4 linked regions of the Anolis sagrei genome follow. The protein of the gene in region 4 interacts with the protein of the main gene of each other region in a biochemical or structural test. Links are inferred from orthologs where the notes say so. Each region holds a gene or a part of one and is shown on either strand. Other genes may lie near its edges. The genes, in order: BTG2, FUS, FBL and PRMT1.

Region 1 (7,244 bases), on a different chromosome or scaffold from region 4:
GCATCCAGGCACCCCCTGGGCAATGTCATTGCAGATGGCCAATTGTCTCACACCTGAAGCAACTTGCAGTTTCTCAAGTTGCTCCTGATATGGAAAAAAAATCTGATGCTGCTATAAACCATCATGGTGAGACACTTAAGAATTCTTTGTTACAGACTCCTAGTACTCCAAGTCATAGGAATGCAGTAATACGCTTTTACAGAAAATTCTAAGTGCCCCACTAAACTTCAGATCCCAAGCTACTAGACAATGAAGCCATAGCAGTTAATAGTAGTGCCAAACTTCAGTTACTTGGTAGTAGAGATGTACTTGTACAAGTCTGGGCTCGAAGAACCCAGGAGGCATTAACCAGAGAGCTACCATGATTACTGAAAGCTCCTTAGCAGACAATGCCATTAGCATACAGCCTTTGCAATCCACTCCTGTACCTCAACTCAACATACCACTCTATTGTGTCATGAGTTGTGCTTAGAAAATCTCTTAAACTGTATTAAACTGGGTTGCTGTGAGTTTTCTGGGCTGTATGGCCATGTTCCAGAAGCATTCCCTCCTGACGTTTCGCCCACATCTATGGCAAGCATCCTCAGAGGTTGTGAGGCATATTGGAAACTAAGCAAGGCTTTGCAATGCTAATCAAGGTGATCAATTGCAACATTCACACTTGCTACAAACAGAAAAGAGTTCTTTCTCCCACCCTGGACATAAACTTCCCTTGCTTAGTTTCCAACAAACCTCACAACCTCTGTGGATGCCTGCCATAGATGTAGATGAAACTTCAGGAGAGAATGCTTCTGGAACATGGCCATACAGTCCAGAAAACTCACAGCAACCCAATAATTCCAGCCATGAAAGCCTTCATTGTATTATCGAATAAAATATTAGATTCAGAGAGCCCATAGTTATAAACAACAGGAAGAAATGGCTGCCTGATGTTAAACACTGGTGAATTCAACCAGGCTTACATCTAGAGACAAAGGATGGAGCTATGAGGAAACTATATTTTCGACAGCACAAACACTCACTTCAGCACTGAATAATACACCTTGAGGAAGTTGCAAGACCAGACTTGCCTGTAATATAAGACACTTAAGCAAATTATCAAAAGGCTTTGTGACACCTTTAAGAGGAACAGATTGATTTCAGGATGTACTTGTGAGCCACGGAAATCCCTTCTGAAATAAATCTCAGAGCTCTGGCGGTGCCACAAGACTATGTGTTGATATCCTAGAATAGACAAGCTCAGCTGCCCCTTCTTCCAAGGTCCTTTGCTGCTGGTCGATTCAGACAAAGCCATTGGGTTCCCTGATTTGGGGGTTTCAAATGTCCTCAATCTCATGGTTCTCTAGTTCAGCATTTCCCAACCTGGGGATTGTGAGGGAGTATCAGAGAGGTCACTAAAGACCATCAGAAAATGCAGTATTTTCTGTTACTTATGGGAGTCCTGTGTGCCAAGTTTGGTTTAATTCCATTGTTGATGGAGTTCAGAATGCCTTTTGATGGTAGGTGAACTATAAATCCCAGCAACTACAGCTCTCAAATGTCATGGTCTATTTCCCCCGAACTCCATCAGTGTTCAGATTTGGGCATACTGAGTATCTGTGACGGGTTTGGATCAGATCCATCATTGTTTGGGTTCACAGTGCTCTCTGGATGCAGATGAACTACAACTCCAAAACTCAAGGTCAATGCCCACCAAACCCTTCCAGTATTTTGTGTTGGTCACTGAAGTTCTGAGTGCCAAGTCTGGTTCAATTCCATCATTGGTGGAGTTCAGAATGCTTTTATTGGAGGTGAACTATGAATCCCAGCAACTACAACTCCCAAATGACAAAATCAACCTCCCCCCACAAAACAGGTCTATGCCCACCAAACATTTCCAGTATTTTCTGTTGGTCACAGTAGTTCTGTGTGCCAAGTTTGGTTCAATTCCATTGTTGGTGGAGTTCAGAATGCTCTTCGATTGTAGGCAAACTATCAATCCCAGCAACTACAACTCCCAAATGACAAAAAATCAATCCCCACTAGTATTTAAATTTAGGTGTATCGGGTATTGGTGCCAAATTTGGCCCAGTGAATGAAAATACACCCTCCAGATCAGATATTGACACGACGATCCATAATAGTAGCAGAATTATAGTTACAAAGTAGCAACTAAAATAATTTTATGGTTGGGGAGGGAGGTCACCACAACAGGAGGAACTGTATCAAGGGGTTGCGGCATTGGGAAGGTTGAGAAACAGTGTGCGGGTTGATTCGGACAAAGCCACTGGGTTCCTGGATTGGGGGGTTTCAAATGTCCTCAAAAGCTCATGGTCAGTCCTCCTACTGTGGTTTGCAACAGTGCTTGGGAGGACTTTGTGCCATGGCTTGCCTCTTGGAGAAGAACAAAGAAGACTCGCAGAACAAAGGGTGCATCTCTACTAGGCATGGGCCAACTTGGGCCTTCCCTCCAGGTGCCTTGGACTTCAAGTCCCATCATTCCTAACAGCCTCAGGCCCTTTCCTTTCCCCCCTCAGCCGCTTAAGCGGCTGAGGGGGGAAAGGAAGGGGCCTGAGGCTGTTAGGAATGATGGGACTTGAAGTCCAAAGCACCTGGAAGGAGGGCCCAAGTTGGCCCCTGTCCAACCTACACTGTGGATGTGGCTCTCGAGATCCCCTCTCCCCTCCCTCACCTGTGAGCGCCTCTTCCAGAGCCCCGCTGAACACCTGGAGCTGCTGCTCGCTCACGCAGCCTCGGGTCCGGAGCAGGCTGGACACGAAGCCCACGGCAGCGGCGATCTCGGGCACCATGTCCGCCCGGCTGCAGCTGGTCACGCAGCTCCCACTCCAACGCTGGGTTTGGCTCATGATTGCTTTCGTTTAGCAAGATTCAAGGAATGGGACGGATTGTTTTCCTCTCTCTTTGTTTCAGGGCGGCCCCTTTAAGACGGCGCTGTTGCTTCTCCTTCTCGTTCTTCTCCGGAGAAGGCGCCCTTCGCGTCCGCCGCTCTCCCCCTCCCTTAACTCGTCCAGCTCTGGCTCCGTGCGGGACTCTTAATACGCTTGGACCAGGCAGGCGTCACCGGCGAAGCGAGCTCCTGATTGGCCGAGCGCTCGCTGGATATGCTAATGAAGTTGTGACCTCAGCAGGGTGGAAGTTGTGACGTCGGTACTCGGAAAGTCAGGCTCCGGGAACATGGTCAGAGCAGCTGGGGTGAGGAGAGGGAGGAGGGGGAGGAGGCCTTCTGCAATGGGGCTATTTATAGGGCTTTGCCTAGTAGGGGAGCTGCAGGATCAAGAGGAAAGGGAGAGAGAGAGAATAGGGGTTGGTTGGCTGGAAGAAAGGAAACACAGTTAGCAAAACAACCTGGGAAAATCTGCTTGTTTTGACCAGATCTGTGTCCCATTCAGCAAAATATAACACTAACTGGGTTGTTGTAGGTTTTTTCGGGCTATATGACCATGGTCTAGAGGCATTCTCTCCTGATGTTTCGCCTGCATCTATGGCAAGCATCCTCAGAGGTAGTGAGGTCTGTTGGAACTAGGAAAATGGGTTTATATATCTGTGGAAAGACCAGGGTGGGACAAAGGACTCTTGTCTGCTGGAGCTAAGTGAGGCACCTGTTTTCTTTGGTAGAAAAGGCTAAAGACTTTGGAAAACTACAACTCCCAGGATTTCACAGCTTTGAGCCATGATTGTTATATTTATATCCCACTTTTCTCTCTTAAACAAAACTCAAAGCCGCTCACATGAAAAAATACTATTTAAAACCAACAACATATAATGATCAAAATAGAATTAAACAGAATGTTTAAAAACCAATAGTTAAAATCCCATCAAACCAGTAAAAAATAATTAAAGCACCACAACTCCCATGAATCCATCAAATTGAGTGGTATCTCCACTGTAGAATTCTTGCAGTTTGACTCCACTTTATCTGATATGAGTAAATAATAATAATAATAATAATAATATATTTATAACCCACCCTCTCTCCCCAAAGGTCTCAGGGCAGTTTACAAAAATGACAAAAATGCAAACATTCAAGGCCCCAAAACTGATAACATATAAACAACAGTCAGGGCAAGGCAAATGCTAAGGGAGTTCTCATTTAGTGAGGCACCAGCTTTAAAGACCTTTATTATTTGCGAATAAAAGGTCTGGGCCAACCATGGCAAATGACCAGCTCACTAGAAAGATAGTGATCTCGGTCACCAGACTCCCCAGATTGTTGTTTACCAGGCAGGTATGCACCTTGTGGGGAAAGCAAAAATAAATTTATAAATGCAGCAAAACAAAAGGTATAGTCTGTTGATTTACTCGGAAGATGGGGTCATGATGAAGCTAAAGTGGACACATGACCAGCAGAGAGCCAGCATAGTGTGGTAGCTTGAGTGTTAAGATACTGCTAAGGAAACCAGGATTTGAATTTCCACTTAGCTATGGAATCCCGCTTGGTGACCTTGGGCAAGTCACATTCTCTCAGCTTCAAGTATGAGATATTTAGAATTTTCTGCCAGGGAGGTCAAGCAATTGACCACCACCAAGCTGCAGATACCAGGATTCTACACAGCCACAGTAATTGAAGTGGCATGAAAATGATACACAGACAGTACCCGAGTTACAAACATCCAACTTACAAACAACTCATAGTTAAGAACTGGGGTGAGACAACAAGAAGTGAGAGCAATCTACCCCTCAGAAGAGAAATTCACTTCTGTAAATAGTTATCATGGGCAAAAGGTGTCTCCATTAAAGCTTTCTCACCAATTCTTCTTTCCACAACAAGCCACGTTTTTCAAAATCGAATTATCACAGGGACAGAAGGTGAGGTGAAATCTTCTGAACAGGGGCACAGACGGCAAAACAAACACCACAGGGATGTTAATCCTTCCCTATGCTACCCAAAGCTAGAATAGATGGATGGATGGATGGATGGGCGGGTGGGCGAGCGGGCAGGCAGGCGTTACACTTAAAAATGTACTTGATCTTACAGAACCTATCTTGTTCATAACTTGGGGATTGCCTATAACTGTGTACTGTAAAAGAGATCTAGACCACTGGGAGTTGCATTTAGAAGGGGCTACAAGACACTTTCTCTTGCTAAACTTAAGAGCAGCCCAACATTTACATACATTGTTTGGCTGTGCCACCATTCAAAATAACACTTGGCCTTTTGTATCAATGTAAGAAACCACCCATGGCTTAATCTTTAAGAAATCCAAAAAGCAAACATTTTACAATCTTGTATACAGAAGGTCATTTTAGTATAACATTAAATTTTTGAAACCATGGATTTGGATATCCACGGAGGTCCAAACCAAACCCCAGCAGATATCAAGGGCCCACTGTATGCATGTTGTTGTTTAGTCACTTCCTACTCTTTGTGACCTCATGGATCAACCCACGCCAGAGCTCCCTGTCGGCCGTCACCACCCCCAGCTCCTTTAAGGTCAATCCAGTCACTCCAAGGATGCCATCCATCCATCTTGCCCTTGGTCGGCCCCTCTTCCTTTTTCCTTCCATTTTTCCCATCATCATTGTCTTCTCTAAGCTTTCCTAAGCTTTTCTGGATCAGCCCACGCCAGAGCTCCCTGTCAGCCGTCACCACCCCCAGCTCCTTCAAGGTCAAACCAGTGACTTCAAGGGTAACAACCATCCGTCTTGTCCTTGGTTGGCCCCTTTTCCTTTTTCCTTCCATATCGCTCAGCCTTCCTTATGGTCCAGCTCTCACATCCATAGATTTCTATGAGGAATACCATTGCTTTAACTATGCGGATGTTCATTGCCAGTGTGATGTCTCTACTCTTAATTATTTTATTGAGATTGGTCATTGCTCTCCTCCCAAGAAGTAAACGTCTTCTGATTTCCTGGCTGCAATCTGCATCTGCAATAATCTTTGTTCCTAGAAATACAAAATCTGTCAGTGCCTCCATGTTTTCTCCCTCTGTTTGCCAGTTATCAAATCAGTCTGGTTGCCACAATCTTGACTTTTTTATATTTAACTGCAACCCAGCTTTTGCACTTTCTTCTTTCAACTTGGTTATAAGGCTCCTCCGTTCCTCCTCGCTTTCAGCTATCAAAGTGGTATCATCTTCATATCTGAGGTTCGTAATGTTTCATCCAGCAATTTTAACTCCAGCCTTGGATTCTTCAGGCGCCGCACTGAAGATGCATTCTGTATACAAGTTGAATAGGTTGAGTGGGAGTATACAACCTGCCGTACGCCTTTCCCAATCTTGAATCAGTCTGTTGTTCCATGGTCTGTTCTTACTGTTGCTACTTGGTCGTTATACAGATTCCTCAGGAGACAGACAGGAGATGGACAAGGTGGCTTGGTATCCCCATACCACCAAGCATTTACCACTGTGTGTGGGCTTTGTATATTTATCTATGCAAAGGCCTTTATTTGTCAATGCATCACCTATTTATTCTAACTTTTACCCAAATGATTCCTTCAAATTTGAATAGTTCCCCCTCCCCACACATATACTTTTCATATTTTAAATGTTGTAATCCAGCAACGGAGTGTTTCTCTGATATACCAGGTAAGAAGAGGTTGCAATAAATGCTATACCTCTCCCCTCACTCTGCATACCAGGCCATTTTCTTTTCTTTTTCAATTATATGCTTGCAAGTCATGTGCTTTTGAACACGTCCACAGTTTCTCAAACCCCCATCTTCTTGGTATAAATAGGCACAATCAACTAAACAGCCATGTATTGTGAAACCTTGCATGACTTCCTCCAGGTGACTGGGAGGAAGAGAGACAAAACCAAGACATGCACACTTGTCCATGTTCTACTCAGAATTAAGTTCCTTGAATATAATGGGATTTATTCCTAACTAGATATTTACATGAATGTAAGCCTCATCAGTCCCCTGCCTCAAATTATCTCTGACATATTTGTCACCACATCTAACTCTAAAGAGAAGAGAGTTGTTTCGATCATCAGCAAGCCTTTGTAGAGACTTTTGGTATTAGAACCAGATTTAGAAACCTGAGTTTATATTTTTAGCCCTTCGATAACAGTTGGAATCTATCACGTGTGTGGGATGTGTGTAATGCTGCTGTATTAACAAAGAGGATGTCTAGTTTCAGTAAATTTTACTGAAGCTGATTTGATGAAGAGACAAGGGTGCTTCTATGACCTGTCTGTACAGATGCTCTGACTTTGATACCATGTTGAACAATCTGAATTTTGAGACACATAGAAAATGAAGCATGGAGTACTTATTTTGTTGGACTACAACTCCCAGAATGT
Region 2 (7,865 bases), about 7.3 Mb from region 4:
CAGCTTGAAATTGCATTATATGGGTAGCGTAGACTCACATCATGCAGCTCAACACAATTAAACTGCATTATATAGCAGTGTAAATGAGGCCAGACAGCTAGGAAGAGAAGCTACACAAGTCCCTCTTGTTCCACCACATTATTTGTTCTGTGTGTCTCGGGGACAAGTCACAACATTCTACCAAAATAGAATAAACAAACATAAACAAGCGCACACACAAATGGAGGACAGGAAAATTCACAGAGGCCTGAGGCATGTTCGAGCAGGCATTTGATTAAGCAGTATAATTGAATATAGGAATATGGAATAATGGATGATGAGATTGGATTCGGATTTTACTGATGAGATACTAATGATTGTTATATTGATGTTTTATCGTTGATGATGCTACTGTTTTAACTGTCCCATATTTGTTTTGTGATGTTTTTGCATTGAATTTTGCTGTTGTTAACCGCTTTGAGTCGCCTGAGGGCTGAGAAAAGCGGTATATAAATGAAGTAAATAATAAATAATTATCCTAATCCAATTTCTACAAAACAGATACACTGCCTTTGTGCAGGAAGACAAAATCAACATCTTTCCCCTTGAGTCACAACTATAGCTTTTTCTAGAACAGTCATGGCCAAACTTGGGCCCTCCAGATGTTTTGGACTTCAACTCCCATCATTCCTAACAGCCTCATCTGAGGGGGTAAAAGGAAAGGGCTTGAGGCTGTTAGGAATGGTGGGAGTTGAAGTCCAAAACACATGGAGGGCCTAAGTTTGGCCATGGCTGCTCTATGAACGCCTTCATTGGGGAGGAGAAAAAATTACATTGTATTATAGAATCATAGAATCAAAGAGTTGGAAGAGACCTCATGGGCCATCCAGTCCAACCCCCTGCCAAGAAGTAGGAATATTGCATTCAAATCACCCCTGACAGATGGCCATCCAGCCTCTGTTTAAAAGCTTTCAAAGAAGGAGCCTCCACCACACTCTGGGGCAGAGAGTTCCACTGCTGAACGGCTCTCACAGTCAGGAAGTTCTTCCTCATGTTCAGATGGAATCTCCTCTCTTGTAGTTTGAAGCCATTGTTCCGCGTCCTAGCCTCCAGGCCAGCAGAAAACAAGCTTGCTCCCTCCTCCCTGTGGCTTCCTCTCACATATTTATATATTGCTATCATATCCCCTCTCAGCCTTCTCTTCTTCAGGATAAACATGCCCAGCTCCTTAAGCCGCTCCTCATAGGGCTTGTTCTCCAGACCCTTTATCATTTTAGTCGCTCTCCTCTGGACACATTCCAGCTTGTCAATATCTCTCTTGAATTGTGGTGCCCAGAATTTGACACAATATTCCAGGTGTGGTCTAACCAAAGCAGAATAGAGCATGGGTAGCATGACTTCCCTAGATCTAGACACATTATGGATCAGGAAATGCTGTAAAAAGAAGCAAACCCACCCATGGGCCTCCAGAGTTATTTATATATATGTGTCTGTGTGTATGAGAAGTCGCCCCCACACAAGTAGAGGCTGCTGAGGTAACAAAGAATAGAAGAGCTGGAATCAGAACCATCAGCGCTTTAAATGAGAAGTCAAAGGGGCTTCCTGCGCATGCGCGGATCCCGCGAAGAGGGCAAAAAAAATGACAGTTGAGCTCGTGGGCGGTGAAGAGAATGACTCAACGGGGTGGACAACGTTCCAAAGGAATGGGGAAGGGCAAGGGCCCGGATGTAACACTGCGACAAACAGCCTTGTATACGCATGCGCAAGCTTTTCTTTCCCCAGCGCATGCGCGCGCCGCTCCTTCCTCTCCTAACTAAGCATCTGAAACGCCGGCACACACCTCGAGTACTTTTCCATTGTCTATTCCTCCCCCTCAGCGTGTTCACTCGCGCATGCGCAGCTGCCGAACACTGCCCGTGTGTCGTTGCCATGGGGAGCCCCGTCTCCTTCCCCTCCCTATAAAAGCCCAGCCCTCCCTCGCGCTCCTTCCAGAGCGGAACTGCCCCTCCTCGTGGCCTAGTTCTCACGCTGGCACAAAATGGCGGCGAATAATGGCGCAGTTCAAGATCTCTTCCTTCTAGACAGCCAAAAGCGACCGGCATGGCCTCCGAATATTACCCCTTAGTATATAAACCCAACCATAATACTATTTCCATATGAAACCGCTATTTAAGGGGCCTTTCGCTCCGTAAAATGGAAGTCACCCTATTCAAATGGGGTACAAAATGGCCTCCGTTGTAATAATACCCAATCTGTTCTTGTGCGTTTTTTCGGGCTATATGGCCAGAGGGTGGGGTGACTGGGGTGGGGCCAAGAGCTCTTCTCTGCTGGAGCTAGGTGTGAATGTTTCACCTCTCAACAAAAGATTCTCCCAGGCTCAGCCAGGCCTTCAAATGCTAATGAAGGTGGTCAGTTGAAACAGTCACACCTAGCTCCAGCAGACAAGAGTTCTTTGCCTCACCCTGGTCTTCCCACAGATATATAAACCCATTGTCCTAGTTCTATCAGACCTCACTACCTCTGAGGATGCTTGCCATAGATGCAGGCGAAACGTCAGGAGAAAATGCCTCTAGAACATGACCATATAGCCCGAAAAAACCCACAAGAACCTATTGATTCCAGCCATGAAAGCCTTCGACAATACAATACCCAATCTATTTCGCAATAAAGATCTATGCATGTAAAGGAATCGTGTAACCCCCAGAGAAAGGGAAAACACATCCTAGGAGACCCAATCCCTTTGAAAATCCTATTCCAACCCCATTGCAATCTTTAGTTTTAGTTTATCAGAACCAAGAATACAACCATTGAATCTTAATTCCTCCTGGTGAGTCAAACTCGCTGATTCAATGGCTCCACTCTGGATTCAAGCATTGCACCCGCTACAAAATTCAATATATTACACCCTTTTGTATCCTCTTCCTCACCGTTAGACGCCATTGCTGTAGACCCCTCCAAGTCTCCCCCCAAAGCGGCCAAAAGCAACCTTCCTTCCCGTCTCCTTGCCTCCGAGCGCTTTCCCAGCCCGCTCTTTCCTTTATATACTTCCCCCTCCCATTCAGCCTTTAGGCCGAACCATGTTAGTTTGTGGGGGGAGAGCCGAGAATAGACATCGTTTCCTCTCCCCACTAAACTGAACAACTCGCCGCCATCTCCTCCCAAAGAATCCCAAGCTAATATCAATCATTGATTTAAATAATTAACAGGCGAGGTTAATTCACGGGACTGGTTTCCAACAGAATGGGATTCCAACCCCCCCCCTACCGCACTGAAATGGTACAGTCCATATAGAACGGAGGTTAGGGTGAGCTCACAGAGGAAGACTGGAAGCAACCAAATTGGCAAAGAAGGGGGTCAGAAAAGGAAGAAGCAAAATAAATAAATAAATGGGAAATTGCTTCTGAAGACAAACAAGACATTTTCTCCAGTGGATTATAATATATTTAACGACTCCTATATTGTTGTTGTTATTTGCAGCCCGTTTACACTACATTCTTTTCCTGCTTCTTAGCAGGGGGGTTGGTCTAAATGGCCCACGAGGTCTCTTCCAGCTCAATGATTCTATGAAAAGAATCTCAGCACCAATTAAAATCCAAAAATATACAAACATTAAAATATTTATTTATTTACTATATTTATCCCCTGCCCCCTCTCACCCCGAAGAGGATTCAGAGCGCTTATATGTACATACTATCTATCTATCTATCTATCTATCTATCTATATAAATGCTCTGTGCATAATGCGTACCATAAAAAGAAAAGAACCAATGAGCGAAATCACACCAAATTTGGCAACAAAATGTCTCACTACACAAGGAGTGACCATCAATCAAAAATTACGATTTTGTCATTTGGGAGTTGTAGTTGCTGGGATTTATAGCTCAGCTACAATCAAAGAGCATTCTGAACTCCACCAACGATAGAATTGAACCACAGAACTCCCATGACCAACAGAAAATACTGGAAGGGTTTGGAGAGCATTGACCTTGAGTTTGGGAGTTGTAGTTCACCTATATCCACAAGGCACTGTGGACTCAAACAATGATGGATCTGGACCAAATTTGGCATGAATACTCAATATGCCCAAATATAAACACAGATGGAGTTTGGGGGAAATAAACCTTGACATTTGGGAGTTGTAGTTACTGGGATTTATAGTTCACCTACAATCAAGGAGCATTTCAAACCTCACCAACGATGGAATTGGGCCAAACATCCCACACAAAACCCCCATGACCGACAGGAAATACTGTGTTTCCTGGTGGTCTTTGGGGACCCTTCTGACACCCCCCTGGTGACCCCCCCCCCCCCCGGGTGTATTGACTTCCCAGGTTGAGAAATGCTGCCTTAAGGTCATCCAGCCCAGCTCCCTTCACCAGGGCAACAAAACAAAGCCTCCTGACAAAGGGCCATCCAGCCATTCACACACACACATATATGTATATGACAGATGCAGTATCAAAGATTTGAAAGGGACCCCTAAAGAAGGACAATGATATGTTACATGTTCCAGAGTAGGCAAACCAGACAATCTCCACATCAACACTGGCAAAGAAACAACGAGAAATACTGTTTACCCTCAAGCATAAAGACATTACATATATTAGAAACCAACACATTCTCATTACTTCATATCCAGATCACCAGACTGGGCCACAGCAACGCGTGGCAGGGGACAGCTAGTGTCTTATATTATTAGCCTAGCACAATATTGGCATTATATATTACTATATTGTACTATGCCACTATACTGTAATATCATTAGTAATGTTACACGTAATATATAATATATAAGTAATATTATTGTATTTTATTATTGTTGTTCATTCGTTCAGTCATTTCCGACTCTTTGTGACCTCATGGACCAGCCCATGCCAGAGCTCCCTGTCGGCCGTCACCACCCCCAGCTCCTTCAAGGTCAGTCCAGTCACTTCAAAGATGCCATCCATCCATCTTGCCCTTGGTCGGCCCCTCTTCCTTTTACCTTCCACTTTCCCCAGCATCATTGTCTTCTCTAGGCTTTCCTGTCTCCTCATGATGTGGCCAAAGTACTTCAACTTTGCCTCTAGTATCCTTCCCTCCAATGAGCAGTCGGGCTTTGTTTCCTGGAGGATGGACTGGTTGGATCTTCTTACAGTCCAAGGCACTCTTAGAATTTTCCTCACTACAGCTCAAAAGCATCTACTTTTGCTCAGTCTTCCTTATGGTTCAGCTCTCACATCCATAGGTTACTACGGGGAATACCATTGCATTATCTATGTGGATCTTTGTTGCCAGTGTGATGTCTCTACTCTTTATTATTTTATCAATTTTGGTCATTGCTCTCCTCCCAAGAAGTAAATATCTTCTGATTTCCTGGCTGCAAGAAACCCTGTTTCCCTTCCCCATCAAAATCCATAGCACCCTTGCAGCTGACTAGTGCCAAAATGCCAGGGCTTCCCAGTCCTTGGTGATTATAAAGTAAAGGTAAAGGTTCCCCCCGATATTAAGTCTAGTTGTGTCCGACTCTGGGGGTTGTTGCTCATCTCCATGTGTAAGCCGAAGAGTCGGCGTTGTCTATAGACACCTCCAAGGTCATGTGGCCGGAATGACTGCATGGAGCACCATTACCTTTCTGCCAGAGTAGTACCTATTGATCAACTCACATTTGCATGTTTTCGAACTGCTAGGTTGCAAGAAGCTGAGGCTAACAGCAGGAGCTCACACCACTCCCCGGATTTGCACCTGCGACCTTTCGATCAAGTTCAGCAGCTCAGCAGTTTAAATATATAGTACTATATTGTTGCTGGGGGGAAGAGCCCCCAAATGAGGGCACAGGAGATAAGGTGGAACTGTCTTCCTGGCCTCCCCTCCTCACTCTAACCCCAGAGCAGCAGTTGGTGCTGGGGGGAGGGCCCCTCGACTGATGGTACAGAAATAGAAACATCAATGGTATTAATTAAAATTAACAGGTAAAATCCTAACGAAATGCTTTGGACCAAAAGTATTTTTGATTTCAGTTTTCATTCCCAGATAGCTAGATAGATAGATTTCATGAGATATATTGGAGATGGGACTCAAGACTAAAATCAAAATTCATTTATGTTTAATATACACTTTGCATAAATAGTCTGAAGATAATTTTCTATTTATAATTTAATAATTTTGTGCCTTAATATAAAGCTGGTGTACACTGAATCAACAGAAGCCACCCATGTGGACAATTTTGCAGCATCTTTCAGATTTCTGGATAAAGAACTTGTGTTTCAAAGGAAGTAATTGGCCCCCACTGAATAAATGGAGGCATTAATATTTCACAAACTAGATTTTACACTTGAATCTGTACTGTATGCCATACAAGGATAAGCACCTTCTAGAGTTTTGATATAATCATCATCATCCCAGGCGACAGCAGGATTGATGAGAAGCAACTGGAAAAGCTTAGATATGAGGATTTAAATAACTGCAAAGACTCTGGCACAAGCCAGTAAAGGTGATCCCAGGGGTGATCAGCATACTGAGTGCAGTAGCTAAAGACCTTGGCCTGCACTTAAAAACAATCAGCGCTGATAAAAATTACCATCTGTCAGCTGCAAAAGGCCACCCTACTGGCATCTGCATGCATTATTAGCCGATACATCACACAATCCTAGACACTTGGGAAGTGTCCGGCATGTGATCTAATACAAAAGCCAGTATAGTAATCTTGTTTGCTGTGTACTAATTTTGGTTTGTATCAAATAATAATAACAACAACAACAGCAACAATTTCGCTGGACTGGCCATGTTGTCTGAATGCCCAAAGCAGGTACTATACTCCCAACTCAAGAATGGAAAATGGAATGTTGGTGGACAGGAAAAGAGAGTTAAAGATGGGCTTAAAGCCAACCTTAAAAACTGTGGCATAGACACAGAGAACTGGGAAGCCTGGCCCTTGAGCTTTATCTCTCCTGAAGGGGAATCCTAACAGCTGGTAAACTGACTGGAATTTCTGGGAGTTGTAGGCCAAACCACCTGGGGACCCACAGGCTGAGAACTATTAAAACAAAATCAAAGTTAAGTTCATAGAATCATAGAATCAAAGAGTTGGAAGAGACCTCATGGGCCATCCAGTCCAACCCCCTGCCAAGAAGCAGGAATATTGCATTCAAATCACCCCTGACAAATGGCCATCCAGCCTCTGCTTAAAAGCTTCCAAAGAAGGAGCCTCCACCACACTCCAGGGCAGAGAGTTCCACTGCTGAACGGCTCTCACAGTCAGGAAGTTCTTCCTAATGTTCAGATGGAATCTCCTCTCTTGTAGTTTGAAGCCATTGTTCCGCGTCCTAGTCTCCAAGGAAGCAGAAAACAAGCTTGCTCCCTCCTCCCTGTGGCTTCCTCTCACATATTTATACATGGCTATCATATCTCCTCTCAGCCTTCTCTTCTTCAGGCTAAACATGCCCAGTTCCCTAAGTTGTTGTAACTCAGTGGTTCCCAACCTTTTTTTGACCAGGGACCACTTTGACCAGGGATCACTCTCCAACATTAGTACCAACAGCGTTACGAATCACTTTTTGGTAAACTTTAGATTCAGTTTGGGGTGCTGATTCAGAAAATTGCATTGGATAGACCACATCAGTTCTAGTTTCTGATGTAGAACATATACCATGGTCAGCAACAGGGAAGGAGTGGCAAGTGGCACAAAAATGGCGGAAATAAAATAATATTTTAAAACAAATAAAATAAAAGAAAGAGGAAGGAGGCTCGTAGACCAGATTTTCGTCCTCGCAGCTCAATGGTGATCCATGGCCCACAGGTTAAGAACCACTGTTCTAACTGGAATGTTCTAACTAGAGGTCAGCTATTTATTTATTTATAGCATTTTTACCCTGCTCTTCTCAACCGCCCGGGGGGGGGGGGGGGTC
Region 3 (6,842 bases), on a different chromosome or scaffold from region 4:
TAGGGTCCCACATGTGATAATATGTCAATCAAAATCATAAACAACCAATGAGCAGCTGTAAAGCTAGCTTAGACCAATGAAATGATTTGTCTGTGGGAACCAATGAGAATGTGTATGCCAAAAATGATAAAAGCTCTGCAGACAAACCTTTGATTGCATTCCTATGTGCATGTTTGTCGATACAGTGTTCTCTCGCTACTTCGCGGTTTGCTTTTAGCGGACTCGCTGTTTTGCGGTTTTTCAATAAATATTAATTTAAAATATATATCGCGGTATTTTTGCTGTTTCATGGGTTTTTGCTGCCTTCGCTCTCCAACACACTTTCCCTCCTCGGTCCTTTCTCCCTTGAAGGGCCTTTCCTTCCTGCGTTCTCTCTCTTCACCTGGTGAAGGGAAAGGTGAGGAGGGCTTGCTTTCTTTCCTTCTTTGCCACCGCACTGACAGGGAGGCAGGTACGGGGAGCCCCGGGGGAAGGGGGGGAGGAGGAGGAAACCTCATGCACAGCTACCCATGCGGAAGATTCAGGAGTGTTTTAAAAGAAACAGGTACAGTACATGTACTGTACAGAACAGTGTGGGAAAGGTTATTAAGGGAAAGGATTATGTAGTGTATATGTGTGGGGAGGGTTTATTTTAAGTTTATAAAGACTTTAAAAAGTGTAGGTAAAAGGTAAAGGTTGTCCCCTGACATTAACTCCCCTAAGTTTGGGCATTTGGAGTGCCCCCTCCCCCCCCCCCATCGGTGCACCTTCACTTCTTTTTTGACTTGGGTGATGGTTGGAGTATTTATATAGGTATCTATCTGTGTGTGATTTTGGCAACTGGACTGATTGATAAATGGCAAATAGAGGGAGAAAACGTGGAGACAGTGACAGACTTTGTATTTCTAGGTGCAAAGATTACTGCAGATGCAGACTGCAGCCAGGAAATCAGAAGACGTTTACTTCTTGGGAGGAAAGCAATGACCAATCTCAATAAAATAGTGAAGAGTAGAGACATCACGCTGGCAACCAAGATCCACATAGTTAAAGCAATGGTATACCCTGTAGTAACCTACGGATGTGAGAGCTGGACCATAAGGAAGGCTGATAGAAGGAAGATAGATGCTTTTGAACTGTGGTGTTGGAGGAAAGTTCTGAGAGTGCCTTGGACCGCGAGAAGATCCAACCAGTCCATACTTCCAACTGCTCACTGGAGGGAAGGATATTAGAGGCAAAGATGAAGTACTTTGGCCACATAAGGAGAGGAGAGGAAAGCTTGGAGAAGATCATGATGCTGGGAAAATGGAAGGAAAAAGGAAGAGGGGCCAACCAAGGGCAAGATGAATGGATGGTATCCTTAAAGTGACTGGCTTGACTCTGAAGGAGCTGGAGGTGGTGACGGCCAACAGGGAGCTCTGGCATGGGCTGGTCCATGAGGTCACGAAGAGTCGAAAGCAACTGAACAAATAAACAACAACAAAATTAATATATGTGCTAGCACTTGGTATTGATCGTGCTTCCTGCAGTGGGGCAACAAATACTCCGTCACACTCTGGAAGCCATGGTTTAATTATTTCAGGATTTGAGGTCCTCTGAATGATATGACACTTATTTGCCTGCTTGCTCTGCCTCTTTAGCTCCAGTTCTCCCCAATATCTTCTATATAAATAAAAATGTAATGTTCGTTTGTGGGATTAACTTAACTCAAAAACCACTGGACGAATTGACACCAAATTTGAACACAAGACACCTATCAGGCCAATGAGTGACCACCACTCAAAAAATTGAGCTTATCATTTGGGAGTTATAGTTGCTGGGATTTATAGTTTACTTACAATCAAAGAGCATTCTGAACTCCACCAATGGTGGAATTGAACCAAACGTGGCACACAAAACTCCCACGACCAACAGAAAACACTAGAAGGGTTTGGTGGGCATTGACCTTGAGTTTGGGAGTTGTAGTTCACCTCCATCCAGAGAGCACTGTGGACTCAAACAATGATGGATCTGGACCAAACTTGGCACGAATATTCCATATGCCCAAATATGAACACAGATGGAGTTTGGGGGAAATAGACCTTGACATTTGGGAGTTGTAGTTACTGGGATTTATAGTTCACCTACAATCAAAGAGCATGTTGAACCCCATGAGATAGAACTCATAGAAATGAGGAAAATGGAAGGAAAAAGGAAGAGGGGCCAATCAAGGGCAAGATGGATGGATGGTATCCTTGAAGTGACTGGCTTGACTGAAGGAACTGGGGGTGGTGACGGCTGACAGGCTGGTCCATGAGGTCACAAAGAGTCGGAAGCGACTGAACAAATAAGCAACAACATCAATATGTGTGGGTTTTCTGTAAACTCTGTGACTCAACTATTGATTGGGTTTGCAACCGTACCTCGCGAAGGCTGATCTGGCCGGGGTGGTCCATGCCTTGGTCACCTCTAGATTGGACTACTGCAATGCGCTCTACGTGGGGCTGCCCTTGAAAACGGCTCGGAAGTTCCAACTGGTCCAACGAGCAGCGGCCAGGATGTTAACTGGGGCCCCTTACAGAGAGAGGTCAACCCTCCTGTTCAAGGAGATCCACTGGCTGCCGTTTATTTTCTGAGCCCAATTTAAGGTGCAGGTGCTTACCTACAAAGCCCTGAACGGTTTGGGACCATCCTACCTGCGTGACCGCATCTCCGTCTACAAACCCACGCCCTCACTTCGGTCAGCTGGAGAGGCCCTGCTTATGATCCCGCCTGCGTCGCAAGCGCGTTTGGTGGGGACACGAGACAGGGCCTTTTCTGTGGTGGCCCCCCGACTCTGGAACACCCTCCCCAAAGATCTTAGACAGGTCCCTACACTGGCAGTCTTTAGAAAGAACCTGAAGACCTGGCTGTTCCGATGTGCCTTCCCAGAATAGGAAATCTCCAATACCAAGTCCCAGAAGCACTTTATTAAAACTAAGATTACTGCACACTGCACTTGCCCTATAAGCCTTATATACCACCTGTCACATCAGCACTTTTAATCCTGTACCCATTACTCTGGCCCGGCCCAGTTTTATTGTGTCTTAGTGTATTGTTTATTGCTTGTTGTTTATTTATATTGCTTTAATTGTTTTTAATTTGCCTTTGGTTTGTATTGTTGTATTGTGCGTTGAGGCCTTGGCCTTTGTAAGCCGCATCGAGTCCTTCGGGAGATGCTAGCGGGGTACAAATAAAGTTTAATAATAATAATAAAATAATAATAATTTGCAGATAACTACTATGACATTTAGAAATGGCAGTTTTCCTTCATTTTCTTTTTCCATAGTGAATTGGATGTTTGGGTGGATGCTGCTGAGGTGGTCCAGGAACTTGTTCAGCTCTTTTTCTCCATTTTCTCTGGTTATCCCTTCTTTTCCAATATCATAAGCGCTGGTTGTTTCCAAAATGGCAGCATGGGTGGGGAGAATTAACAGGAAAACGAGGAAATGGTTTCACTCCTTCAGCCCCTCCCTCCCTTGGAAAATGGGTTCTCCTTCTCTCTCTCTCTGGCGCCTCCTTGTGGCCTCCCCCTCAGATAGTGAAACTAGCCAAAGTTATTATAATAACGGACATTTTGTAAATGTCGCTACAGTTTTCCATTTCTCTGTGGAGGCGCCTTGTATTCACAGAAGCGCCAGAGCAGACACAAACAGCCATGGGCCTAATCTGACCTTCCAGCTGGAAACGGAACAAAGATGGCGCCGACTTCAACAAGCAAACGGCAGCGAAAAGGCCTGGAATTGAAAGCCCGCACAGCGCATGCGTAGAATGCTCGACGTCAGTTGAGGCGGGCTTACGTTACCCCGCCCCCTCCCCGGCCTGCTCACGCACTTCCGGTGCGCCAAGGGATCCTGAGCGCGTGGGGCTCTGCGTGCTTGCACTTCCGGTCTTGGAATTTCAGGCGCGTGTGGCGTTCGTGCGGTCTGTGATCGGCAAGCAAGATGAGGCCCGGTGAGAGCGAGGAGAGGGAAGGAAGGAGGGGAGCCCTTAAGGCCGGAGGGAGGGAGGGAGGGCCCGAGAGGCCGCCCGGAGCCCGGCCTGACGTCTACCTTGTGCTCGTCCTGCAGGTTTCAGCCCTCGCGGGGGACGTGGGGACCGCGGAGGACGCGGCGGCTTCGGGGATCGTGGACGCGGAGGCTTCCGAGGAGGTCGAGGTGGGTTTCACGCTCGGTTTATTTTCAGTCCAAGCTGCCAGAAGTTCCTTTTTTGGATTACTCCCAAGTTTGTAGTAGGCGCAGAAACCTGCAGAAAGTTCTTCCTCGTGTTTAATTCTTCTTCTTCTTCTTTATTTATTAATTATGTATTTACTTCATTTGTATACCGCTATTCTCAGCCCTAAGGCGACTCATGGCGGTTTACAACAATCAAGCAAGAACAAGGCAAACAATCAGGCAAAAATTCAATGCGGCATCAACAAGATACTTAAAAACAATTAACACAGAAACAAATTAAACAATTTAACAGTAATAAACATTCAAGTGGTGCCTCATAACTACAATCATGATCCAAACTCGTCAGTCGTGGTTCCATTTCCTGAAGTCATTGCACTGCTTATTCAAGCGCCTGTTCAAATAGCCAGGTTTTCACTTTTCCCCGGAAAACCATCAAAGAGGGAGCCAATCTAATGTCCGTGGGAAGGGCATTTCACAGCCGAGGGGCCACCACCGAGAAGGCCCTGTCTCTCGTACCCGCCAGCCGTGCCTGTGTTGCAGGCGGGATCGAGAGCAGGGCCTCCCCGGAAGATCTCAAAGTCCTAGTGGGTTTGTAGGTGGAGATGCGATCGGATAGGTAACTTGGAAACTTTATACCCCGCCACCATCTCCCCAAGGGGACTCGGGGCGCCTTACATGAGGCTAAGCCCAACAATTACAACAGTGCAAATATACAACATAAAAATACTATAATGAAAATAAAATACAAGAAGCTGCCAGAAGTTCCTTTTTTGGATTACTCCCAAGTTTGTAGTAGGAGCAGTAACCGGCAGAAAGTTCTTCCTCGTGTTATTATTATTATTATTATTATTATAAAACTTTATACCCCGCCACCATCTCCCCAAGGGGACTCGAGGCGGCTTCCATGAGGCCAAGCCCAACAATTACAACAGTGCAAGTATACAACATAAAAATACAACAGTAAAAATATAATGAAAATAAAATACAAGAAGCATTACAAAGTAACACACACGGTGCAAATTAAAAGCACAATAATTGGGCACAGTGGGCAGGGCCAGTTGCAAAGTTAAAAAGATTTAAAACACTGGGTGGGATGAGCAGTGTAGTGTATCTGGAAGGAGGATCTGATGGGACGAAACAATGGGGTTTAATTGCACTGGAGGATATTTATTTATCGTGTCATCTGCAACCAGAACATTGTATTACATTTCTAACAGGACAAAACAAACAAACAGATAAAAAAAACACAAATTTTGCAAACTTGGTAGCTGATTAAATGTCCTTTGACCAGTATCTGGCCACTTGGAGTGCCTCTGGTGTTGCCACAAGAAGGTCCTCCATCGTGCATGTGGCAGGGCTCAGGTTGCATTGCAGCAGGTCGTCTGTGGTTTGCTCCTCTCCACACTCGCATGTCGTGGATTCAACTTTTTAGCCCCATTTCTTAAGATTGTCTCTGCATCTCGTGGTGCCAGAGCGCAGTCTGTTCAGCGCCTTCCAAGTCGCCCAGTCTTCTGTGTACCCAGGGGGGAGTCTCTCATCTGGTATCACCCATGGATTGAGGTGCTGGGTTTGAGCCTGCCACTTTTGAACTCTCGTTTGCTGAGGTGTTCCAGGAGGATAAAATAAAGTGCATCCGAGGGCATTTTATGCAGGGTTTGGTCAAGGTCAGGGATTGTTGATCATTCATTGAAGGCACACTGGAACAGCCAAGTTTTTAGGCTCTTCCTGAAGACTGCCAGGGTGGGCGCTTGCCTAATTTCTCCGGGGAGCGAGTTCCAAAGCCGAGGGGCCACTATAGACAAGGCCCTTTTCCTCATCCCCACAAGTCGCGCTTGCGATGGAGGCGGGAGCAAGAGAAGGGCCCTCCGGAAGATCGAAGGGGTTGTGTAGGTTCGTGGAAGGAAATGCAGTCACGAAGGTAGTTAGGTTTTTGTCTGCCATTTGAAGCTATTTCTCCATTGTGTCCTAGTTTTTTCAAAAATGACAAAAGATTGAGAACATGGAAAAAGAAAAACACTTGTGAATTCATAGCTCCATCTGAACAACAACTTGCTCAGGCATGGGCAAACTTAGGCCCGCCAGGTGTTTTGGACTTCAACTCCCACATTTCGTAAGGGTAGGCTGTTACGAATTATGGGAGTTGTAGTCCAAAACACCTGTTTGGTGTTTTGGACTTCAACTTTGTCCATGCTTGAGTTAGCTGATATTTAGGGAAGATAAGATTTCTGGAATCAGGATATTCTTTGTGCTATTTGGACAAGCTTAAGAAGCTACCCCAAGGTTCCAAATTGTTTGAGGAGAATATTGTTGCACCAGCTCCACTGGCTGCCAGTCTGCTACCAACCATAATTCAAAGTGCTGGCTTTAGCGTATAAAGCTCTAAACAGTTCCAGCTTACCTGTCCGATCATATCTCTCTCTATGAACCACCTCAGAGATTAAGATCGTCTGGGAAGGCCTGCTCTCAGTCTTGCTTCCTTGCAAATGCTACTGCAAATGCGAATTTAATTTAAATTTTTAGTGGTATTGGAATTATATGTGTTTTAAAGCATTGAATAATTGGAGTTGGAAGAGATCACAAGAGCCATCCATTCCCACCCCTTGCCATGCAGGAACACCCAATCAAAGCACCCCCGGCAGATGACTATCCAGTTTCTGTTTTAAAAATCTCCAT
Region 4 (6,905 bases):
GCAGACTCATATAATCCAGTTTAAAGCAGAAACCCTGGGATCACATCCTGGGATATAGGTCCTGTATGGTAGGGCCCTGGGTTAGGAGTGCATACTTGCCATATAATCCAGTTCAATGTCGATTGTACAGAGCTGTGTGGAAGGAGCCTAAGAGTCTACTGCACTCTTACGGTGCTGGAGGAAAAATGGCTCCAATGAACAGGGGAAACATCCCATGCTATTCCAGGGGTGGGAGGCTTCTCTCTGGACAAAGAGCGCCATTGGGGAGACAGTGCAGACGTGCTCCACGTGTCCTTAGGTTCATCCCAATAGATGGCTGCAGGCTTGGCACAGAGAAGGGAGCATGAAGCGCTCTGGGCATCTCTATGGGGCAGAGAGCTCCAGGCGGTTTGGGGTGAGGAAAGGAAGGGGATCCGTCCACAAAAGGGGAGGAAGGAGGCGGATTTCTCGGGGCCCGGCGCGCTTTCTTCCTAGACGGGCGGGGGCGGGGCTGGACGGGCCGGAGGAGGCGGGGCCCTCCGGGGCGAGGCGTGCCATCATGCCATGCGGGGACCATGAGGAGGGAAGCAGCCGAATTGCGGAGGGAACCAGCTTTAGAGAAAAGGAGGCCGCATAATTTCATAGCACCCACTGAATATCAGAATACATATCAAATGATGAGGAAGACAAATCTGTCCTTATGAGATCAGATGATCAGGAATTGGGAAATAATAATATAATAACAAAAATGATTCCCCATTATTCCTCAGAATAATGTGGGGAGATGATCAGAAATTCGAAAATATTATATTACAATCCATCGATGTTAAATTGTAGTATTTTTGAGCCTCGTTAAGAAAATGGGATATAATAATTCATATCAATAATCATATAATAATATAATAAAAATGACTCCTCATTATTCCTCAGAATAATGTGGAGATGATCTGAAAATATACTATAATTATATGGCCTCATGTAAGCCGAGCTGGGTATAAATAAAGTTTATTATTATTATTATATAATACATATCAAGTGAGAAGGAAAAATCTGTTCCTGATAGAGATCGGATTATCAGAAATCGGGATAGAATAATAAAATAATAATACTAATTCCTCAGAATAATGTGGGGGAGATTATCTGAAAATATACTATACTATAATAATGATAATAGAGATCAAGTGAGGAGGAATTTGTTCCTGACAGAGATCAGATAATCAGAAATTGGGTTAGAATATTATTGTTATTATTCCTCATTATTTTTCAGAATAATGTGGAGATATGATCTGAAAATATCCTATAATTATGATAATACATATCAAGTAGGAAGAATCTGTTCCTTATGGAGATCAGATTATCAAAAATTGGGATAATAATAATTATTACTCCTCATTATTTCTCAGAATAATTTTGGGAGATGATCTGAAAATATCCTACAATAATGATGATACATATCAAGTGAGCAGTGTGGACTCAGGGCCCTTCCACACAGCCCTATATCCCAGAATATCAAGGCATATAATCCCACAATATCTGCTTTGAACTGGGTTATCTGAGTCCACACTCAGATACTGTGGGATTTCCTGCCTTGATATTCTGGGATATAGGGGTGTGTGTAGAAGGGCCCATTGTGGGATTTTGTCTTGATATTCTGGAATATGGAGGGGGGGAAATGTGGGGATGTAAATATAATATAATCTTTTCCTTAGAATGAGATTATCAAAAATTGGGTTATAATAACAACAAACCAGGGAAGCATCCATTCCTAATAAAAATGTGGGGATATTATCATAAACTGGGGTGTAAATATAATATTATAATAATAATCTGTTCCTTAGAATGAGATTATCAAAATTTGGGCTATAATAAAAAAAATCGGGGAAGCATCCGTTCCTTATAATAAACTGGGGTGTAAATATAATAATATTAATCTGTTCCTTAGAATGAGATTATCGAAAATTAAGATATAATAACAAGTCAGGGAAGTATGCGTTCCTAATAAAAATGTGGGGAGATTACCATAAACTAGGATGTAAATATAATATTATTATTATAATCTGTTCCTTAGAATGATATTATCAAAAATTGGGTTACAATAATAACAAAAATCAGGGAAGCATCCATTCCTAATAAAATATGGGGAGATTATAATAAACTGTAAATATAATATAATAATCTGTTTCTTAGAATGAGATTATCAAAAATTGGGCTATAATAACAAAAATCAGGGAAGCATGCGTTCCTAATAAAAATATGGGGAGATTATCATAGACTGGGATGTAAATATAATATTATAATAATAATCTGTTCCTTAGAATGAGATTACAATAAACTGGGATGTAAATCTAATATAATAATATTCTGTTCCTTAGAATGAGATTATCAAAAATTGGGCTATAATAATAACAAAAATCAGGGAAGCATGTGTTCCTAATAACAATGTGGGGAGATTATCATAAACTGGGGTGTAAATATAATATTATAATAATATGTTCCTTAGAATATTATCAAAAATTGGGTTATAATAATAACAAATCAGGGAAGCATGCGTTCCTAAAAACAATGTGGGGAAATTATCATAAACTAATAAGATATATAATAGTAATAAATCAGAAAAATCCATTCCTCATACTGATGTGGGGAGAGAAAATAAAACCTTCAGTAGGAGAAGAGGGGATTCCAATGAGACCCAAAGGCCTTTCTTTCTCTTGGAAGGAGAAGGAACCCTCGAGGATGGGGGAAAGCGCCCTGGGGTTCACTATGAGGGGCGGACAGGCCTTTGAATGGGAAGGGAGTGGGGGGTCCCTCCTTAAAGGTCCCCCCAAAGGGCCCGGGCTCGATGGGGAAGGGGTGTGTGGGGCCTGAGGCCTCCCTGGAGCCCCTTTCCCCCTTTCTCCCGCTCCCTCCACCCCTCCCACGCGCCCTCACCTCCATGATGCAGTTTGCAGCTTCCGCCATCTTGCGAATGAGACGCTGAAAGAGAGAGAGAAGCCGTCTCGCGCGCCCGCCCCCTCCCCTTTCCCCTCAACGCTCTCGTTCAGCCGAGGAGGTGGGACTCCCTCCGATTGGGTGGCTCCGCTGTCACTCCCGAGAAAGAGAAAGAGGTGGGGAAATAAGCCCCGCCTCCTTGTTTCCCATTGGTTGACGCGACACACTCTTCGACGGGATCTTCCATCAAACCGACGTTCGAATCCCATTGGGTGCTTTCCGTAAAAGAGGCGGGCTTTTTTTCTTTTAGAAACAGGCATGGGGCAAACTTCGGCCCTCCGGGTGTTTTGGACTACAACTCCCACAATTCCTAACAGCCTACCGCCTGTTAGGAATTGTGGGAGTTGTAGTCCAAACACCCGGAGGGCCGAAGTTTGCCTCATGCCTGGTTTAAGACACCCAAAGAACAGAGCGTTGTCAATCACGAACCAAGAGGCGGGCCCGTTTGTTAGTATGAAATATGATTGGTCCGGAAAAGAAACGACCACCAATTAAAAGAGGGAGGCGGGTTTTGGAGCTAATATTCCAAGATTTATTGGTGATGGAAATGCCTGTCAAAGCAAAGGGTTCCGTATTCTCAATCATCATTGGTTGCTTTGTTTCAAAGGGGTGGGACAAAGAAACGGATTTGTTAACGAAACTGACAATCAAAGAACAGAGGTTCTCTTTAGCCCCATAAACGATGCATTAATTGTCAAGAAGTACATGACAATATAAAGCTCCTTCTATACTGACCACCTGCTGCAATGCAACCTGAGCCCTGCCACATGCACAATGGGGGGCCTTCTTGCAGCAACACCAGAAGCACTCCAAGTGGCCAGATACTGGTCAAAGGACATTTAATTAACTACCAAACTCACACATTTTGTATTTTCTCTGTTTGTTTGCTTTGTTCTGTTAGAAATGTAATATAATCGACTGACTGTCCTGACACGATAAATAAATACACTGCCATGTAACCTAGGGCCCTTCGACACAACCATATAACTCAGATTATAAAACCAGATAATCCGCAAATGAACCGGATTATATATCAGTGAAGACCAATATAATGCAATTCAAAGCAGATAATCCGCATTGTCTGCTTTGAACCGGATCACATTGGTCTACACTGATATACATATAATCCAGTTCGAACCAGATAATCCGAATTATCTGTTTCGACTTGGATTATATGCGTCTACACTGACATATAATCTGGTTCAATGTAGATTATCCAAATTATCTGCTTTGAATCGGATTATATGAGTCTTCACCGACATACAATCCAGTTCAAACCAGATAATACGCATTATCTGGTTTGAACCTGATCACACGAGTCTACACTGATATATAATCCAGTTCAAATCAGAAAATTCAAATTATCTGCTTCGAACTGGATCACACGAGGCTACACAGATATAATCCAGTTCAAATGAAATAATTCAAATTATCTGTTTTAATCAGATTATATGCGTCTACACTGACATATAATCCTGTTTAAAGCAGATTATCCGAATTGCCTGCTTTGAACGGGATTATATGTCAGTGTAGACTCATATAATCCTGTTCAACGCAGATAATCCGGATTATCTGCTTTGAATCGGTTTATATGAGTCTACACTGACATATAATCCAGTTCAAAGCAGATTATCTGAATTATTTGCTTTGAATGGGATTATATGAGTCTACACTGACATATAATCCTGTTCAAAGCAGATTATCCAAGTTACCTGCTTTCAATCGGATTATACGAGTCTACACTGTCATATAATCCTGTTCAACGCAGATAATCCGAATTATCTGCTTTGAATGGGATTATGTGAGTCTACACTGATATATAATCCAGTTCAAAGCAGATTATCTGAATTACCTGCTTTGAATGGAATTATATGACTCTACACTGACATATAATCCACTTCAAAGCAGATAATCTGGATTTTATTTGGGACTATACAAGGGGCCTAACATGCTGAAGGCAGAGAAATGCCGAAAACTACAAAGCCCAAATTTCCATATAATTGAGACGTGGGAGTTGAAGCGGTATCAAACTGCATTAAGTCTACAGTGTACACTCATCACCTATCAATCTTTTTTTTTTACCCCCATTGATAGTATTCACTTAGTGTCATTAAAAAGCCTTCATTTCCTTATTGGCTGAATGGCATATCCATCATTTAGGATAAATTATTGACAAATCTGTATTGGCAGACAAACATGTCAATCCGAATTTGGAAAGGACAGTAATTTATTTCATTGGTTTGTGTTCATTCATTGCCAAGGTCAAATGTTATATGGAAGGGCATGACGTCACTCAGCGACGAAGAACAGCCTTTTCTGCTTGTGCGATCAGCTATTGGATAGATTGCCTGTCAATAAAAAAAATCCTAAAGCCTCATTGGATAATTTCCAGCCAGAGCTCTCCTAGTAAGGACAAAGTGGGTGTGCCATTCACAAACCCAGAATTCTCTCTTGAAAGCTCATTGGTTCAGTCGAGATACCATTGAGAATTTTAAGTTGCAGTGGTGAAATTCGTCTATGTGCCTAGACTCACGTCCGACTCTATAGAGAACAGGAAGGAGGTGAGAAAAAGAGATCTATACACTAGAAAAGGCACAGGCAAACTTCGACCCTCCAGGTGTTTTGGACTTCAACTCCCAAAATTCCTAACAGCCTACCGGCTGTTAGGAATTCTGGGAGTTGAAGTCCAAAACACCTGGAGGGTCGAGGTTTGTCCATGCCTGCACTAGAATCAATCAAATTTGATACCAAAGAGTGCTGGTGCTTCACTAAACTACAACTTCCAATAGGATCCCATAGCATGGAGCCAGGTCATTAAAGTGGTGTCAGACTGCATTCCTTCTACAGTGTAGATGCACCCCCTAAGGCACTGGAGAATGCATGTACAATGCAGAATGAATGAAGTTTAAACCCACTTTAACTTCCTTGGCTCCATGCTATGGGATCCTATTGGGAGCTGTAGTTTGCCATCACTCTACAATTTTTATTAGTTTGCTTCATTTACTTTATTTAAAATCAATTTGGTTAAATGTATTTATTCATTTAACGATTCTTTCCATTTTATTTGTGTATTTATTTCAATTTTATTTAACTGATTGATATTATTATTATTATTATTATCATCATCATCATCATTATTTACACCCCACTTTATCTCTTCTGAAGAGGAATCAGACTGGCATATCATAAAAGCATTATTATTATTATTATTGACACAAAGGCGCAGTATGTCACAGCAAACGAGATCCATATGCTGGATTTCGTATCACAAAATCATAAGTCAAACACTTCCCAAGGGTCTAGGGCTGTGTGATGTATTTTCGAATGATGCGCACAGATCCAAGTAAGGTGGCCTTTTGCAGTTGACAGATGGTGATTTTGTCAATGTTTATTGTTTCCAAATGCCAGCTGAGATTTTTTGGCACAGCACCCAGTGCGCCAATGACCACTGGGACCACCTGTACTAGTTTATGCCAGAGCCTTTGCAGTTCGATTTTGAGGTCTTGATAGCGGCTGAGTTTTTCCTGTTGTTTTTCACCTGGTATGGCGACATCAATAATCCTGACATTTTTCTTTTCCACAATCGTGATGTCTGGTGTATTGTGTTCCAAAACATTGTCAGTCTAGATTTGAAAGTCCCACAGTATTTTTGCATGTTCATGTTGCACGACCTTTGCGGGTTTATGATCCCACCAATTCTTTACTGCTGGCAGTTGGTACTTGTGACACAAGTTCCAGTGAATCATCTGAGAGTTGTGTCTTTGTTTGTAGTCCGTCTGTACGATTTTCTGGCAGCAGCTGAGGATATACTCAATGGTTTCATCAGCTTCCTTGCACAGACTGCATTTTGGGTCAACAGCTGATTTTTCAATTCTGGCCTTAATTGAATTTCTTCTGATGGCTTGCTCCTGGGCTGCAAGAATCAGGCCTTCTGTCTC

The links.
Region 1: the proteins of PRMT1 (region 4) and BTG2 form a complex in vitro, tested with the Homo sapiens proteins (2 studies listed by BioGRID). The link is inferred for Anolis sagrei from reciprocal best matches to the Homo sapiens genes PRMT1 and BTG2.
Region 2: of the proteins of PRMT1 (region 4) and FUS, one has a biochemical effect on the other in vitro, tested with the Homo sapiens proteins (3 studies listed by BioGRID). The link is inferred for Anolis sagrei from reciprocal best matches to the Homo sapiens genes PRMT1 and FUS.
Region 3: of the proteins of PRMT1 (region 4) and FBL, one has a biochemical effect on the other in vitro, tested with the Homo sapiens proteins (2 studies listed by BioGRID). The link is inferred for Anolis sagrei from reciprocal best matches to the Homo sapiens genes PRMT1 and FBL.

What each region holds. Positions count from the first base shown.
Region 1 is NC_090024.1:191,488,830-191,496,073, reverse strand, and holds the start of BTG2 (protein BTG2), read right to left. Parts: upstream 3,026-7,244; 5' UTR 2,847-3,025; coding exon 2,672-2,846; intron 1-2,671. UniProt on the Homo sapiens protein: Anti-proliferative protein; the function is mediated by association with deadenylase subunits of the CCR4-NOT complex. Activates mRNA deadenylation in a CNOT6 and CNOT7-dependent manner. In vitro can inhibit deadenylase activity of CNOT7 and CNOT8.
Region 2 is NC_090026.1:14,969,957-14,977,821, reverse strand, and holds the start of FUS (RNA-binding protein FUS), read right to left. Parts: upstream 3,012-7,865; 5' UTR 2,920-3,011; coding exon 2,907-2,919; intron 1-2,906. UniProt on the Homo sapiens protein: DNA/RNA-binding protein that plays a role in various cellular processes such as transcription regulation, RNA splicing, RNA transport, DNA repair and damage response. Binds to ssRNA containing the consensus sequence 5'-AGGUAA-3'.
Region 3 is NC_090034.1:87,654,762-87,661,603, reverse strand, and holds the start of FBL (rRNA 2'-O-methyltransferase fibrillarin), read left to right. Parts: upstream 1-3,823; 5' UTR 3,824-3,938; coding exon 3,939-3,948; intron 3,949-4,064; coding exon 4,065-4,151; intron 4,152-6,842.
Region 4 is NC_090026.1:22,289,013-22,295,917, reverse strand, and holds the start of PRMT1 (protein arginine N-methyltransferase 1), read right to left. Parts: upstream 3,023-6,905; 5' UTR 2,938-3,022; coding exon 2,908-2,937; intron 1-2,907. UniProt on the Homo sapiens protein: Arginine methyltransferase that methylates (mono and asymmetric dimethylation) the guanidino nitrogens of arginyl residues present in proteins such as ESR1, histone H2, H3 and H4, FMR1, ILF3, HNRNPA1, HNRNPD, NFATC2IP, SUPT5H, TAF15, EWS, HABP4, SERBP1, RBM15, FOXO1, CHTOP, MAP3K5/ASK1, MICU1 and NPRL2.